Linked DNA regions of Oryctolagus cuniculus. The protein of the gene in region 1 purifies or fractionates together with the protein of each later gene. This does not show direct contact. Links are inferred from orthologs where the notes say so. Each region holds a gene or a part of one and is shown on either strand. Other genes may lie near its edges. The genes, in order: ITGA3 and CD9.

The links.
Region 2: the proteins of ITGA3 (region 1) and CD9 purify together in Homo sapiens (affinity purification with western blotting; 3 studies listed by BioGRID and IntAct, with this or other methods). This does not show direct contact. The link is inferred for Oryctolagus cuniculus from reciprocal best matches to the Homo sapiens genes ITGA3 and CD9.

Annotation. Positions count from the first base shown.
Region 1 is NC_091448.1:26,032,799-26,040,726, forward strand, and holds the start of ITGA3 (integrin alpha-3), read left to right. Parts: upstream 1-3,742; coding exon 3,743-3,948; exon of another isoform or gene 3,949-4,297; intron 4,298-5,180; exon of another isoform or gene 5,181-5,958; intron 5,959-7,928.
Region 2 is NC_091440.1:103,272,852-103,280,726, reverse strand, and holds the start of CD9 (CD9 antigen), read left to right. Parts: upstream 1-3,314; 5' UTR 3,315-3,511; coding exon 3,512-3,577; intron 3,578-7,875. UniProt on the Homo sapiens protein: Integral membrane protein associated with integrins, which regulates different processes, such as sperm-egg fusion, platelet activation and aggregation, and cell adhesion.

The DNA.
Region 1 (7,928 bases):
GGTGGCACATGACTGCTCTCCCTGGCTATGGCTCCAGCAGTGCCGTGTGCCCCGTGGGAGGGCAGACAGAGGGAGGCTGAGGCGAACGCCATAAGCGCTATACAGATGGGAGCTGCCTTTATACACTACGTCACCATCCTTGCTGGGAGAGCCTCACCCCAACCAGGCCCCGGCTCTTCTGCTTTTCTTCTCTCCCCCTGGTCTAGCTCTCCTCCTCCAGGAAGTCTCCCTGGCCCTCTGCAGAGCCCATCGTTTGCTTGTTATGATGCAGAGAAAGGCAAATCCCCTACCAGGTTTATTTTAGATGTCAAGACTGATGACGCCATGAGCACCCCAGAGGGGAAGAAAAGATTTATTATTTACATAATTGAGGTCTCCGGGAAGAGCAAAGCCTCTTAAGCAGGTCCCAATGGCCCAGGAGAGTCAGAGAAGAGGCAGACCTGGGGTTTTGTGGTTAGGGGTTAGCGCGCAGAAAGGGATGTGGGTCTCTCTCTCTCTCTCTCTCTCTCTCTCTCTGACACCAAAGGAGGAGCACGGAAGCTCTCTTGTCCATGTGTGGGGCACAAGGGCCAGGGGGCAGTGAGATGTAAAAGCCATCAGCAAACATCAAAAACTGGACGCGGACTCCTCACCCACGCGCTCTTGTTCCCTCGTGTCTGAGTTTCTAGCTGGGTCCCTGCTCCGTGGGGAAGCGTTGCCAGATGAGGCCAACCAAGCGATGAGATAAGGCTGTGGGTGGCAGTCACTGAAACCAGAGGATTTCTGACCTGTGGTTTGAACTTGGAGTTCCCTCCTCATCTCTCGAGCTCAGACCCCTCCTGGCTCCATGTCTCCCCCACCCCCATTCCATGCTCCCAGATCTGACACTCCTACACATTCCTCAGCTCGGGCCCTCCCCTCCTCCCCGTCTCCCCTGCTCCTGCCCCCACATTCCCTCTGGACACTCCCCTGGAGTGGAAAACCATCCCTCATCCCTTTCCTGCCCCCCCCATCCCTGAATCGGACATGCTGGTCATTCCTGTTTGGGATGGCCAGAGAGATAAGGCCTGGCAAGGAGCCCATTTGTCATCACAAGACTCTGAGTGGCAGGACTTATACCCACACTGAGTGTCCATCCTGGGCCCCTGTCCTCCTGATCCTGGCTGTGTCTCCTTCTTTAGGAACAAACTAGGAAGTCCAGGAAGTAGCAGAAGGAACAGGGGTGGAGGGAGGGATGGGAAAGCCATCTGGTCAACCTCTATCTAGGTCTGCTTCCTGTGCCTTGGCCTGGATGTCTCCTTACCCTGATGTCATGGGCCACAAGGCAGACCATGAGGGAGGCTGGGTGGCTCTGGAAGTCACAGCTTGGGAACAAACACTGTCTTAAGGGCAGTCGGGGACAAGCATCCTCTTCCCAACCACCACAGAAAAAGCTGTTATCGCAGCTGCTTTTGTTTACACGTCTGGTTGTTGATCAACATCTGCCTGGAGTTTGTCTCTCTCTCTCTCTCTTTTTAAGATTTTATTTATTTATTTGAGAGGTATTGTTACAGACAGAGAGAAAGGTCTATCATCCGCTGGTTCACTCCCCAATTGGCGGCAACCGCTGGAGCTGGGTTGATCAGAAGCCAGGAGCCGAGAGCTTTTTTCAGGTCTCCCACGCGGGTGCAGGGATCAAAGGACTTGGGCCATCTTCCTCTGCTTTCCCAGACCATACCAGAGAGCTGGATGGGAAGTGGAGCAGCTGGGACACGAACCAGTGCCCACGTGGGATGCTGGCGCCACAGTAGAAAGCTTAGCCTACTACACCACAGCATTGGCCCCAGAGTTTGTCTCTTAGAGACAGTGCTGTGGCCAATGGTTTCCATCCCAGCCCTGCCTCCCATAAGCTGTGTGACCTTGGACTGTCCTGGGGCTCCATTCTTTGAAAGGAAATGAAGAGGGTGATCCTGACCTCCCTGGGAAGCTGGCCGGATGAAATGGGTCTGCCCAAGAAATGATTCACAAACTGGAAAGCGAGGCTGGGCCAGGTCCCAGGCTCTGACTCTGATCTCCTCAGTCTCAGTTCTGTATTCTGCTCCTTACAGGGAGCCCCAGGCTGCAGGAGAGGCCAGGTCTGTCAGAGCTCAGTTAGCAGGCGTGCTCCTGAGCAGCGTTCCAGGGGCCGAAACACGGGGTTAGATTCCTAGCTGAGGGTCCTTAGCCTGAGCCTTCTCATCTTGAAACACAAAGGACAGCTCCATGATTGCTGTGAGCCTTTAATTTATTCATATTTGTAAAGCACTCAGTTCACGCTGCATATGTGTTTAATCGATAGGATTTCTCTTACTATGATGGTGAGAAGCTAGAGAGAAAAGAAAAACGCTCAGGGAAAATGTTGCGCTGCAGTAAGAGACATCTATTGTACTTCAAAAGTACACAGTGACCTCTGGCAGCTCTTTTCTGTTTGATTCTTCTAGGAATAATGAGATCTTTGGGTGCCGCCCACCCACCTCCACCTGGCACCCCCCCCACTGCTCACCTGGGGGTGCTGTCTTCCTGCCCAGCAACCCCACCCTGGCTCAGCCTCAGCCTGAGCGAAGGAGTGGACCTTTGAGATTCTGCCGGCCAGTCCCTGAAGGCAGTAGTGGAGGAGAAACCGGTGCAGTTTGGGCCAGCTCTGGCCACACAGTTCCCGCTACGGAGGGACTCGTCTTCAAGAGTCGCATCCACCTTCTAGAAGCAGCAACCCTTAAGGGGAAATGTTATCATTTTGCTAATTACAATTAGCGATGTTTGATAATTACCACTACTAAGTATCTGTCTGGCTTCGCTGTGGAGCCAGTCCCAGCTCGAATCAGGAAGGTGGGGGCGGGTGGATCGCAGAAATAAATCTTAACAGAGACAGAGGAGGGGCTGGGTGCGGGGAGAGCGCCCAGAGACCGCCAGCCACCTCCTGGGCACTCACAGCGCTGCGGAGGCGAGCCGAGCGTTGCAACCAGCAGCGCGCGGGGAGACCGTTCTCAGATGCGCCAACGCCCGGCCTCTTCAGCCGGGACAGCAGAGGTGGCTGCGCCTGCAACGGCCTTTCCTAAGGCGGCAGCAGCCGCAGCAAAGCGGCGGGGCAAATCCCAGCCCCGGCCCCGCCCGTCCAACCCTTCTCGCTCCGGAGGCGACGCTTCTCGAGAGATTCGAGGGGCGGAGAGGGCAAACTCAAGCTTTTTGGGGCTCCCGACAGGTGTCTGAGGGAGAGGGCGGAGCCAGGAAGGAAGGATGAGGAGGGCGGGGCGGTGCTGCCCCTTTAAGAGGCGGTGGCCGCGCGGGGACCTTTTCTCTTTCCCCGGAAGGAAAGCGGAGTCCGGGCTGGGCGCGCAAGGTGGGGAGGTGCGGGGCTGGGCGTGGGGAAGGCGGGGCGCGCGCAGTGGGACCCCTCCCTCCCGGCCTCCCGGCCTCCCGGCGGTCGACTGATCTCCCCGTCCGGATCCGCCGCCCAGCCGGGATCGAAGGCGACAGCGCAGCCAAGGGGGCGCGGCCGGGACAAGCTAGGGGGCCGGTGACCCGACTGCGGGAGAGGCGATTGAATAGACCCGCGGACCTTGGAAGGGGATCGGAGAGCGCAGAGCCGGAGCAGACGCGAAACTGAGCGGGGCTGAGGGCGAGGAACGGATCCGCACTCGGAGGCGCAGCGGCGCTGCGGGCACGGGTGGCCTCGGCAGCCAGGGAGCAGGTGAACAGGTCCTCGCTCCGCGCGCTCTCGCCCCGGCCGCTGCTCCGGCTAGCAGCCATGGGCCCTGGCGCCCGCCGCGCGCCCGGCGCCCCGCGCCCGCTGCTCTGCGCGTTCGCTTTGATGGTGGCGGCCGGCGGCCGCGTCGCCTCCGCCTTCAACCTGGACACCCGATTCCTTGTGGTAAAGGAGGCCAAGAACCCGAGCAGCCTCTTCGGCTACTCGGTCGCCCTCCACCGGCAGACCGAGCGGCAGCAACGCTACCTGTAAGTGGGGCTGGCGGGGGTGGGGCGGGACGGAGTGAGCGCGGCGGGGTGCGGTGCCGGAGCGGGGTCGCAGCCCACTGGACCCCCCGACCCTTGTGAGCCAGGATTCTGGGGAGCGGATTTCCGAGCAGCCCCCCGGGCTGCCGAGCTTTGGCGGGAAGTGGAGGATTGGGCGTGGTGTGGGGGGCAGTCCTCACTGGCAAGTGCTGACCTGGCCAGAACCTGTCTAGACGCGGCCCCTCCACCCTTCAGATCTCTGCGAGCAGAAGTGTGGTCCCTGTTGCCTGAGCCCCCAGCCAGCGGGTGAACGGAGTGCCTAGCGCTGGCCTCTTCTCTCCAGGGCTGGGAGCTGGATAAACAAGATAAACACACCTAGTGCCCCTCCCCCTCCCGGGGAGAACCCACAGCACATGCATTTAAGCCCGCACCTCGCACTTAGTCTGCGGCCACGCGGGCCACGCCCTCTGCAGAGCCAGACGGGATAGCCTGCTCAACCGCCCGGCGGGCTGGTGCAGGGGGAGCGGGGAGCCGACGGCTGAGTCCGGCCGTGCGGCCATGCGGAGCTGTCCAGAAGCTCCTTCTGACCCCGTGAGCGCAGGGGCGTGGATGAGAGAGAGGAGCTGTCCCCATTGGGACTGCGCCTCCCAGCCGCAGGGGCGCTCTCCCACCAGACATCATCCCCGCATTCCACAGATTCATGTTGAATCGCAGCCCTGAGTGTGTTTGTTTTGGTTTGAAGAGGGAAATGGTGTTTTTCTTCTGTTCTCCTTCCCCGACAGCTGCAAAGGAGAAGGAGCTGGAAGGGCTCAGGGGAGGAGGGAAAGAGAGCATCCAGCTGCCTGCCCCTCCCCGCAGACTCCCTCCGTAGGGACCCACACCCGGGGGCATGTCCAGGCTCCAGGGCTTTCTCTGCTGTGGGCTCAGAGTGTGCTGAGGTCGGCAGCTGGGGGCAGGGCCGGGGGAGGGGGAGAATGAGGCTGCCCAGGCTGGGACAGTGGTTAGGACAGGTCCTGCAAGCCGCTTTGGCCCCTACCGGCCAGGTGACCCGACAGGTGTCTGTCTTCCCCTGGCCTCTGACCCCACCGAGCTGGAAGAAACCTCTCCCAGCTCCGGCTGGGGCCTGCAGAAGCTTGAGGAAGTTGGGAATGGTCAAAGTCCAAACTGCCCCAGCCCTGGCCTCTGCCCCGTCGGCCCAGCCCCTACCCAGCCTGCCTGCCCGGGTGCAGCCTCACCTCCATCTGGCTTCTGTGGAGGTGAGGGCCACCACACCCTTCCTGGTCTGACTCCTGCTGCTGTCTGGCTTCAGCAAACCCCGAACGACCATCGGGGCGATTCTCTGTGCCAGTGCTCTTCCTGCCCTGGCCCGCGAAAAAGATGTTCAGGCTGCTGGATAGGAGTTTGCAGGGTGATGAGCAGATCGGTCTGGGAAGGCAGCACACGCAGCGACTCCGAGGCCGCCCCTCCCCCCTTTACCATGTGACCTTGAGCAGCACACGTTCCTTCCCTGGGACAGTTTTTCCCAAAAAGGGTTTGGAGTTGGATCTCTGTCTCCTGCCCACCTCCGAGGGCCTGCAAGAGGCGACTTGGCATTGTGGAGGGCAAAGAGGCTCCCAAGTGCCACTGCCAGGGTCCGGTCGTGGGTCTGTCCCTGAGACTATTTCTCCTCTGAAGGGGAAAGGGGCTCGTTCTTTAGGGGCGCCAGTGGGGCTTTAATGGGACCATGTGTTTGAAATGCACTGCCCAGGTGGCCGTCTGGGCTCGCCATAAAGCGCTAGTTAAATACCTGCGCCCCTCATCAGATTGCCTCCATTCCATTCCCGGCACCAGAGGCCGATTCCAACTTTCTGTTAACGCAGACCCCGCAGGACAGCACTGGTGGCTCAAGTAGTTGGGTTCCTGCCATCCACATGGGAGACTTGGATTGAGTTCCTGGTTCCCAGCTTCAGCCCTCAGGCCATTAAGGGCATTTGGGGGAGTGAAATAGTGGATGGAAGCTCTCTCTCAAATAAATAAATTTAAATGATTTTTTTTATAAAGTACCTTACATATGCCCACTTCCCCCAGGTGCAGCTGCAGGCTCTGGTGCTGCAACCAGGACCTGGATGCACCCCCAGAACCCACGAGCTCCACCCGAGATGGCTGAGCTAAGGGCTTCTGCTTTTCTGCCTGGGCAGCTCGAGATGGCATTAGGCCTTCCAATTGCAAGAAGGTTAGAGCTCATGGACCTCCAAGAGGCAGGTGGTTCTAGAGAGAGTTTGGGGCCTCCCTGCATGGGCATCCTCAGTCTTTTTCCAGAAGTGGGTCTACCTCTAGGCTTACCTCCTTGGCTCACTGAATTCTGTACGCTGGCCCTGTGGGAGAGCCAAGGGGGCCAGCTGGGCTTGGCAGCAGCCAGCTGTGTAGCCAGATGTGAGCAGCTGCCTGGGTACACCGCGCCCGGGGGGGAACTAGCGAGCCAAGCTGTGGCCTCACGTTCTGTTGCTCTCAAAGTCCCTTTGGAAGGAGAACAGGCTTGTGAGTCTGGGGTTCATAGAAGGTTTTTAGGAAATGAGGGATCTTTGAGAGTAGAGGCAGAATCCTGTGTGTTTTGTTCCTTGTCCTGGAGCGGGAAGAGGGGAGAGCACAGCTTTCCTGTTCTCAAATCCCCACCCCGGGGTAGGGGGACCCTCTCTGCTGCCCCATCGCCTTCCTTCCCCACCCACATCATCGGGGGTTCCCGCCAATGCACGACCCAGTCCCCCATCCCTGGAAAAGAGGAGCATGGGGGAGACCAGGGTACTTTGGCTTCTAATGGTGAGATGCATGCGGTCCCCCTGGAGGGAGGTGGCACCCGCCCTGTTGCTCCCTCCTGGAAGTCCTTGTGAGCCATGAGGGCAGGCTCTGAGCCTCTCTCCCTTTATCCTTTGCTGGAAATGAGGGCATCTGGAGGCCTGGCGCTCGTGGAAATGATGTCAGGCACAAGGTAGGCAGGAGCCCAGCTTACCTGCTGTGCTCTCCCGAAACAGGTTCCCCTGGGTGGGGCGGGTGCCTGGCAGCCTCCGAGGCTCGTGCCAGCAGAAATGGGCACAGCAGCTGTGGCTGCACGTGGCAGCTCCCTTCCCTCCGGTTCTCCCCAGCGACCAGTGACAGCCCCAGGGTCTTTGAAGTGGGCGGGCACCGAGGAAGGCCAGCCGCAAAGGCAGCAGCAGCAAAAGGGGCTTGCTTGGTCGCACAGGGCTAAGCCGGGGGGGGGGGGGGGGAGGATGTCCTTGCGGTAACCTCTTACCTGAGGTTAGATGACACCAAGAGTGCCCTGTGGTGGACAGGGATACTAAAGAGAGAGAGAAAGAAGAAGAAATGAAAAAAATAGTTTTTTTTTTCTTAACCTGAGCCTTGCCCACGGCCTCTTCTCCCATGCCTTCTCATTCTCTCACTGCCTCCAGCTGGTCGCTCTGGCTCTCGGGCTGAGTCACCAGTGGGGAGAGGGGGCTGGGTGGGCAGTGGAGGAGGAGCAGCGGGAGGATGGAGAGGGCTGCAGCTTCAGCTACCGCAGGAACTGCCTCTGGGGAGATGATTAATTTGGGCAACAGCGCTGGCACTGAGCTGGGATCCAAGATCTTGAGAACTGCCCATCCCCCTACCCTCTGGGGATCAGGGCTAGAGCAGGCCCCCTCCCCTCCTGCTTCCTGGCCTGGGAGGGGAGCACGTGCCTAGAGCTGGCCTGAGTGCTGGGTCCCTCTGGCCCCCTCTGAAACCTTCCCGGGAAGTTTTTTTTGGATGTTATGGATTTTTTTTCTCTGCGCCTCACCCCACCCTGTGTTCCCCCAGGGACCTCCTTCTCTTTGGAATGAGCCAACCTGGTGCCTGATCTCTCCTGGGTCCCATTCCTCAGCTTCTTTGATTCCATTGCTCGCTACTTGACTCTTCCATTAGCTTTGAACTGCCCGGGAGGAGTGACCGGGCAGGGGTGAGCATAGCTTTTCTGGAGCTTAGAGCTCAGG
Region 2 (7,875 bases), on another chromosome or scaffold:
CCTCCCTGTGATCTCTGACTCAGGGGCTTACCCAGATTTTCCTCTTCCAGCTAAAGCAAACCATATTTGTTTCCATGTCTCCCTTTCCTGGAACACACACTTCGGCCCTCTAGCGTGTCAGGACGGAGGGGACTCTTCACATCTCATCCCAAATGCTTATGTAGAGGTGAGGAGAGCGAGGCCAGGGAGAGGAGGGGACCTGTCCAGAGCAAACCAAAGGGCCAGGGCCGGCACCCTAATCCCAAGGTCTCAGCCCACATACCTCCTGGCTTCTGTGTGATGCCCCAGCATAACTGTCACAATGGGCAGGCACCAAGCTCCCTGCAGGTTAGCTCATTCATGACTCATTATTACCCTAAAGAGAACTTTCTACTAGTAAATATTGGCTGAATTCTTCCCACCACAAGGCAGGAGCCAAAGAGATGAAGCCCCTTTTTGACCTAACACCTGTCCTCCCAAGTAGCGGGCTCCTGTGGACAGAGGCACCATGGGGCATTGTCTGTTGCTCTACCCACCATCCCCACAAGCCTCCCACACTGTGGGGTCCCAGCCGGCCCGTGGCACGAAGCTCAGGGGAGGCTCTGCTTCTGCGTCCGGTCCTCTCCCCGTCTCACCACGCGCGGTTTCCCCAGCAGTCAGCAGCCAGCAGTGGGTTTCCTGCCTCTGCGCACACAGTTCCCTCCGTCCGGCACTTTGCTCGCCGACCCCACCTCCCTAAGTCAGCCTCTGAAGCGTCCCTGGCTCTGCAGCCCCTGGCCCCACTCCTTGTCCCTAGGCTGTGTCTTATCTTCTGCTGAACAAAGATTTAGGAGCCTGTTATCTGTTCATGGGTCTCCCTGCCCCACACTGGGATCCTCCCGCGCTCTGTTCATGGACAGAGGCTGCTTCCTGGCATGCGGAATCATATACAAGCACCCAAGACACTGACAGCAAATGAGCAAAGCCCCCTCCATGACCTGGCTGCTGCCCCTCTGAGCCCCAGCTGTCCCTCCCCCTCCCACCTCATCCCATCACTCAGCTGCCCCGGCCATTGCCCCAGCCTCATTCGTGTCCCCTTGTCTCTCACCTTGTCTCTCCACTGCCCTCGGCACACCTTTCATCTCCCGATGCTGCCCCCATGGCACCCAGAGACAGCTTGCTCAGAGAGCATCTCAGCTCTCTGTCCAATGTCCCAAAGCTCCGAGCCAGGGACTGCAGACACCAGCAATGGCCCATGCCCTGCAGGAGCTTCCTGCCTGTCCCCTTCCTACCCACTTCCACCCAAGGAGAACCTAAAATGCAGGTAGGGCCCTACCTGGAACACACAGCTCATTACTCATTCCCCTCCCTGAACCCTTCACTGGCCATGCTCACTCAGAGTACAGAGCCCGCGGCTGAGAGACCTGGCACCCACACCCCGCACCTTCCCCTCCCCACACGCCTCCCACTGCGAGCTCCAGCCCAGACCCAGGAAGCCCCCATCTCAGCCCAGGATTCTCTCTCTATTGTCAGTTTCCCTGTGGAAAAGTTAATTCTTCCTGATTTAGAGCTAAAGCCCCAGCTCCCAGCTCCCTTGGTCCCCACGCCCACCTGTCACTCCACCCATCACCTTCCTCCCATCCCGTGCTGCCTGCCACCACCCGAGGCGCCACCACTGCCACTACTGATTGCTCTTTAACTGCCTGGAGGGCAGAAATAAGATCTCATCTACTTTCCCAGCTCCTATAAAATACCGTCACATGTACCGGAAACATGTATTTGAATGGTTCAGTCCAGGAGAGGAGACTAAGGATAATACGGAGACAAAGCAAGAGCTACAGTGCGATACCAGGGGCTGCTTCCAGTGCGTGGAATTTGTTGAGTCCTTTTTGTTTCTTAGCATTTTCTGGTGTTTTTTGTAATGAGCAGGCTTTGCCTTGGTAAGAATAACCAATGATCATGGGAGCCTCATTTCTTTTTTAAAGATTTACTTATTTATTTGAAAGGCAGAGTTAGAGAGAGGCAGAGGCAGAAAGAGGTCTTCCATCCACTGGCTCACTCCCCAAATGGCCACAATGCCCGGAGCTGCGCCGAGCGGAAGCCAGGAGCCTGGAGCCTCTTCCAGGTCTCCTGTGCGGGTGCAGGGGCCCAAGGGCTTGGCCCATCTTCTACTGCATTCCCAGGCCATCGCAGAGAGCGGAATTGAAAGTGGAGCAGGCGGGACTTGAACCAGCGCCCTTTTGGGATGCCTGCACTGCAGCTTTACCCGCTTGGCCAAAGCTCCGGCCCCAAGAGCCTCATTTTGGGGGGAAAAAAGTGCCAACAGGGCTCAAGGGTCTCCAAAAACCAAGACTCTCCTCACCCCGTAGGAAAGGTGTGTTGACATTATGGGGCCATCCCTGTCCTTCCAATGAAGGGGGCAGGGCCGGGCCAGGTGGAGGCAGAGCAGGGGTGAGGAGAGGCATGGCAGAAAGAGGAGTGTCATAGCAGGGCCTTGAGAGCAAGGTGAGGTGTCTCCCCTTAGGTCACAATGCGCGGAGCTGCCGCAAGTTTCTGAGTAGCGGGGAGCCGGCTCAGAGCTGGTCGCCGGGAGCATCCCACAGGCAGCCGTGCGCAGCTCTGGGAGTCCCGAGCAAGAGCGCGTGGAGGAGTGGAACAGAGACGTGGCGACCACCCCTCACCTTCCTACCGGGCATCCACACCGCAAGCCCCGGAAGCAACCTGGGCTGCCCGACTCTACTAGATAAACGATTTCCACAAGCCCCAGGTGTGCTCCCACCCGGCCTTGCGGACTTCTACCACCACCTCCTGTTCCACCTGGTGTGCCAAAGAAGAGCAAGTTCATCACCGGAGGGCCTGTGAAGAGCCGTCCGAGAGGGAAATAAAGGCAGGCAGCGACCCTCAGGCTGCAGCAGGCGCAGCAGGACCCGCGGGGGCCCCTCAGGCTGGAGCAGCCGCAGCAGGACCCGTGGGGGCAGGCGGCCGTGGGGAAGGGGCCTCCGGCTCCCGCCGCCCCGCCGAAGGCACCCCCAAGTGCAGCGCCAGTCTGGGGACCACCGGAAGGGCGAGGCTACCCGTACAACCCCCCGGTAACAGGGGCAGGGGTGGCGGCCAGGGGAGGCCCGGGGCAGAGAAAAGGAGACGGGGAAGTTGGGAGGGCGGTGGAGGGAAGCAGAGCAGGGGCGAGGCCTCGGGGAGCGGCAGGGTCCCTGCCTCGCGGACCTGGGCTGGGCGGTGCGGGGCGTGGGCGGGGCAGGTGGGGCCGGGAGGCGGGCTGGGCGGGGGCGGCGGCCCCGGCACATGCGCAGGGAACCCGCCGCGCGCCCTAAGGAGTGGCACTTTTTTAAAAGTGCAGCCGGAGGCCAAGCAGCAGCCGCCAGCACCTCCGTCCTTTGCCGGGTTCCACCAGCCCCAGCCCCAGCCCCAGCCCCAGCCCCAGCCCCAGTCCCAGCCGCAGCCTCAGCCTCAGCCCCAGCCGCAGCCGCAGCCGCAGCCGTTCGTGTTCCCAGGCCCACCCCCGGTCAAGCCAGCCAAGGCCCCTCTATTCAGCATCATGCCGGTCAAAGGAGGCACCAAGTGCATCAAGTACCTGCTCTTCGGGTTTAACTTCGTCTTCTGGGTGAGTGCGTGCCATGACCGCGCGTTCCTCTCACGGGCCACCTGTTTCTGGGCCCCCAAGCCCCCCCCCCCCGAGAGGGTCGGGGGCGCCACGGCGGCCGGCACTGCCCAGGCTGGGCGGGCGAGAGGGCCCTGCGGCTGCCAGCTGGCACCTCGGCCCCGGGCGCGCGGGACGGGCCCGTCCGCGAGGGGCTCTAGCGAGCCCGGGCGTGCCGGCCGCTCGCGTCCCTCTCCTCCGCGCGCACTGGAGTGGGGTTTGGGTGTGCTCCATGGGAAAGGCTGCGGGGAGAAGCGGGATACAGCTCTCTCGGGAACTCAGAGCCCTGGGCGGGGAGGACCGGCGGGCAGTGCAGTTGGTGGCCGGGTGGGGTCCACCGTGGGAGCGGGCGCTCCGAGGACTCGGCGGTGCGGACACTGTCCTCTCCGCCCTTTAACAGTGCAGGGGACCCGGGCCTGGGTGAGAGCCGAGACCCCGACCCCTCACCCCCACCCCGGGTCCCCTGGGGGAGGGACCGCGCGGCCCCCTTCACCCAAGATGGGGCTTGGCGCCGCCGTGCGAGCGGCCGCGCTCCCTTGCAGCAACCTGAAAGACGAGCTTGGCTTGATTTTGTTTTCCGAGGGCGATAAGCATCTTAACTGGAGAGAACTCTGGGAGAGTTGGGGAGGAAAGTAGGAGCTGATGCCTATCGCCGGCGCCTCCAGTGCGATGAGTCCCGGGTTTTGGCACTTCCGGCCTGGGATCAGGTGCCTGGGGCTGCCTGCCCGATGGCCAGGCGGGGTGCTCACCTGGAGAGGCCATCCGGGCAGGGCGCCCCGGGCACACCCACTGGCTATCAGAAGCAGTGGGAAAGGAGTGTGTCCAGGCCACACCTTTTTCCCTTGGGGGATGCAGGGACTTTTGTGTCCTGGTCCAGAGCCAATATCCCTTACACACAAATGGACCGCATTTGCCCCGTCTGCAGGCTGGAGAGGGTTTGGGAGGGCAGTTCCCGCACCACTCAGGAGAGGAAGCTGGAGAGGGCAGAGACTGGGACCCCAGAAATGCACTTCTTCCCCTGGAACAAATGACTGCTTCCCTGGGGCCCTGGGGTAGACGCCCTAAGATCTGACCCTCTGCAAGCTGAAGGCGCCGTAGCAGAGCCGTTCTGCAGCCTGCAGTCTGACCTGCCTTCGCGAGGGTCTGCACGCCCAACACACACTGCTGAGCATAGCACATAGGTGTGCCCCTGCCCGACCCTAGGCAGCTTCAGGGAGGCCCTGCCCTGGGGGGGGGGCACCCCCTCCTACTGGTGTTACCTACAGCCAGCCAGCTGCCAGTCTCAGCTTCTGCCTCTCCCCAAGTCTGTGTCCCAGAAAAGAATGTTTGAAGGAGCCTCACCCCACCCTCGTCATTTGAGGAGCTTTGCCCTCTGCCCTGCCAGTCCATTGGTTAGCCCTCGGCTGTTGGCTTAGATTGCCACAGCCAGACTGCACCCCCATCAGCCCCATGGCACATGGGGGAAGCTGATGGGAGTCTTGCAGGACCCGCAATCTGTCAAGACTGCTTCCAGCCTGCCACCCCACTCGAATTCACAGCTCCCTGCCTGGGCTAGGTGCTGCTGGTTAGCTCTGCCGGCCGAAACAAGGCTGACTCATGCTGGAAATGTTTGGGTTGAGAGTTGGGAGTGGCGCGGGAGCTCTCCTTCACAGTGAGGAAGCAGAGAACCAGATGCTGAGTGGGTTTGCCCAGGATCCCAGACAGCGCCACTGCCATTAACCCCTGGGTCCCTTCCTCTCCTTCTGTCCCTTGCCAAGCCCGTCACGGGGAGATGAGCAGCGACCACACTTTCCTGAGTATTTATTGGTCACTTGTCTTGTACTGGGGTCCTTGCAGAGGTAACGCCTTTTCCCCCCAGATGATGGTGGTGCACTTTGTGCCGTGTTTTGCAAAGTCCTTTCTTTTCCAACACAGAGCAGGAAGTGTCATCCCCCCTTTACCGACAACCAGGGAACTTGGTCCCCAAAGAAGTTAAGTGCCAAGGTCATGTGGCAGGAGCATATCAGATTAAGTTATTTTACCCAACTGGGTGGGAATGCAAGACAGTGGGATGAAGCTCCCCCTTCCTCCCAAAAAATTATTTTCCAAATTTTTATTTGAAAGGCACAGACAGAACTCCCATCTAGAGGTTTATTCCCCCAAATGTCTGCAGTAGCTTGGGTTGGTCTGGGCTGATGTTAGGAGCTGGGAACTCCTCCCAGGTCTCCCACGTAGTAGCAGGAATCCTGTTGAGCTGTCGCTGCTACCTCGCAGGATCTGCTTTAGCAGGGACACTGGAATCAAGAGCCAGAGCCAGGAATCAAACCCAGTACTCTGATGTGTGATGCAGGCGTTTTAACTGCCAGGCCAAACAACAGCTCCAAGACTCTTTTAAGGAAATCTAGGATCTAAGGAGACTGCTTGGATTATGATGATGTCACCACTTCCCTTTCTGTTCCAAGACCAGGGATTTATATCTTGGTATTTGAAAGCCGATATGGGTCTTGAAACGCAAGAGTTGTGAGGCCAGGAGCCCCCCACGTCTCCTGTACTGAGGATGCTGGGCACGGGCGATGGGGCGGTGTGGGGTCTGGCGGGGATGGAGAGAGAAGCCAGCCCCAGCGGCAGTGGGAAGGCTGTGGGCCACCTGGGACGTTGTGCCTCTGTCTGGCCCTGCTCTCAGTCCTGAGGATCCCTCCGTGACAGCTGCGCCTGTGCAGTCAGCCCTCCCCATGTCCGGTGTCTGATGCCCATGGCCAAACTAGCAATCAGCCTGTTTTTCCAACACCCCCAGAACCAAACCTCCTAGCTCTATTTTGGTTGTTTCTGCATTTCCTTCAGCCCTCCCTGCCCGCCAACCCCCTGCAAAACAGTTGAGAGGGAAAACATCTTCCTAGTATCAGAGTGCTAAACAACCCCGTTCAAGCTGGACGGGGGGACCAGGGCTAGGGCTACCCAAGGGATGTGCCATCCCCATTCTATTCGCAGATTCTAAGTCTGCACAGCGAGGGTTTCCGCCTTCTTCCTGGAGCTCCTTAGGATAAAGGAGGGGAAGAGTTGGCTGAACTGAGTGAGCCCAGTTCCTCGCCCTCCACCTCCTCCACTCTGCTCATCATGGCTCACCCCTGACCCTCCCTCAGTGATGGAAATAGCAGGGAGGGTCCTCTTTCCCAAGAAATGGTGTCACCTGGACCCAATGGGAGACGTGGACTCTGTCCCCAGACCTGTGCCCCGGAACTCAGTTTCCCCATTTGTAAAACCAGCGAACAGGTTAGAACATCACACTCAGCCTAGAAGCCAACCCCTGGAGCAATAGGACTTTCACACCCAGCCCCAGCCCCAGGCGGAAGTCAGGAAATGGAAAGATCTGTGTTTTCAAGACTCATCCTCCCAGCATCGCTGCCCCTGACTTCTGCCTCTGGAGCAAGAACCTGGTTCCTGTGTCTCTTTCCTGTTACCTCTCGCTCCCCTCTACTTGCCCTGGGTGGGCTCTCTGGTGGTGTTGTCAGTGCCCATGCACCTTAGCCCTCTGGTGCTCAGCGTCTCCCCGGGCATTGCTGTGGCAGCTCAAGAATGTGGGCCATGCCCTTGGCGTGGTAGCCTTGCACAGGGTGGCCTGGGAGAGCACTCCACAGGGTGGAGTGGAGAGCAGCCTCTGACAGGTGTGGCAGTGGGAGCCACAGATGCAGCCAGGAGCACTTCCGCCCGCACCATGCCTCCCTTCTTTGCCACCTCTTCCTGCCCCTGCGCCAGTCTTCCTGAACGTAAAACTGCCCCCGAGAAAAGCCGTGAGGCAGCAGGATTCGGAGCCTGGGCAGGGTATGGATGAGCAGGGTGGCACCGGCCAAAGCCCCTCCCTCTGGCTTGCTGCTCCTGGCAGAAGCTGCCTGACTTGGAGGTAGGGGCTGGGCCAGTGTGGACTGTGGGGCAGTTGGCTTCCCGCCCCTGGCGCCCAGACAGCCTGGGCCGCTGCTGAGCCGGGCTCTGTTTGTACTGAGGCTGGCAGGTTCCAGCAGAGGTGAGTTGAGGCCAGATGTCTGCATCTGGGAAGGAAAATGAGGCCTTTGCCTGCTCAGGCTCTCTCCCCAAACGTCTGGCCTTCTGATCTGGTGGTAGCAAGAGGATTCCTCCTGTACACTCAGTCTCCCTCCCTCACCCTCTCCACCCCTTTCTTTTTGAGTGACCGCCCCCAAGCACCTTCCAGACCCCACACTTTTGTGCTCAAAGAAAGCAGCTGCTAGTGCAGCCCGAGTCTGGTACTGCCTGCATAGGAAACTGTCACA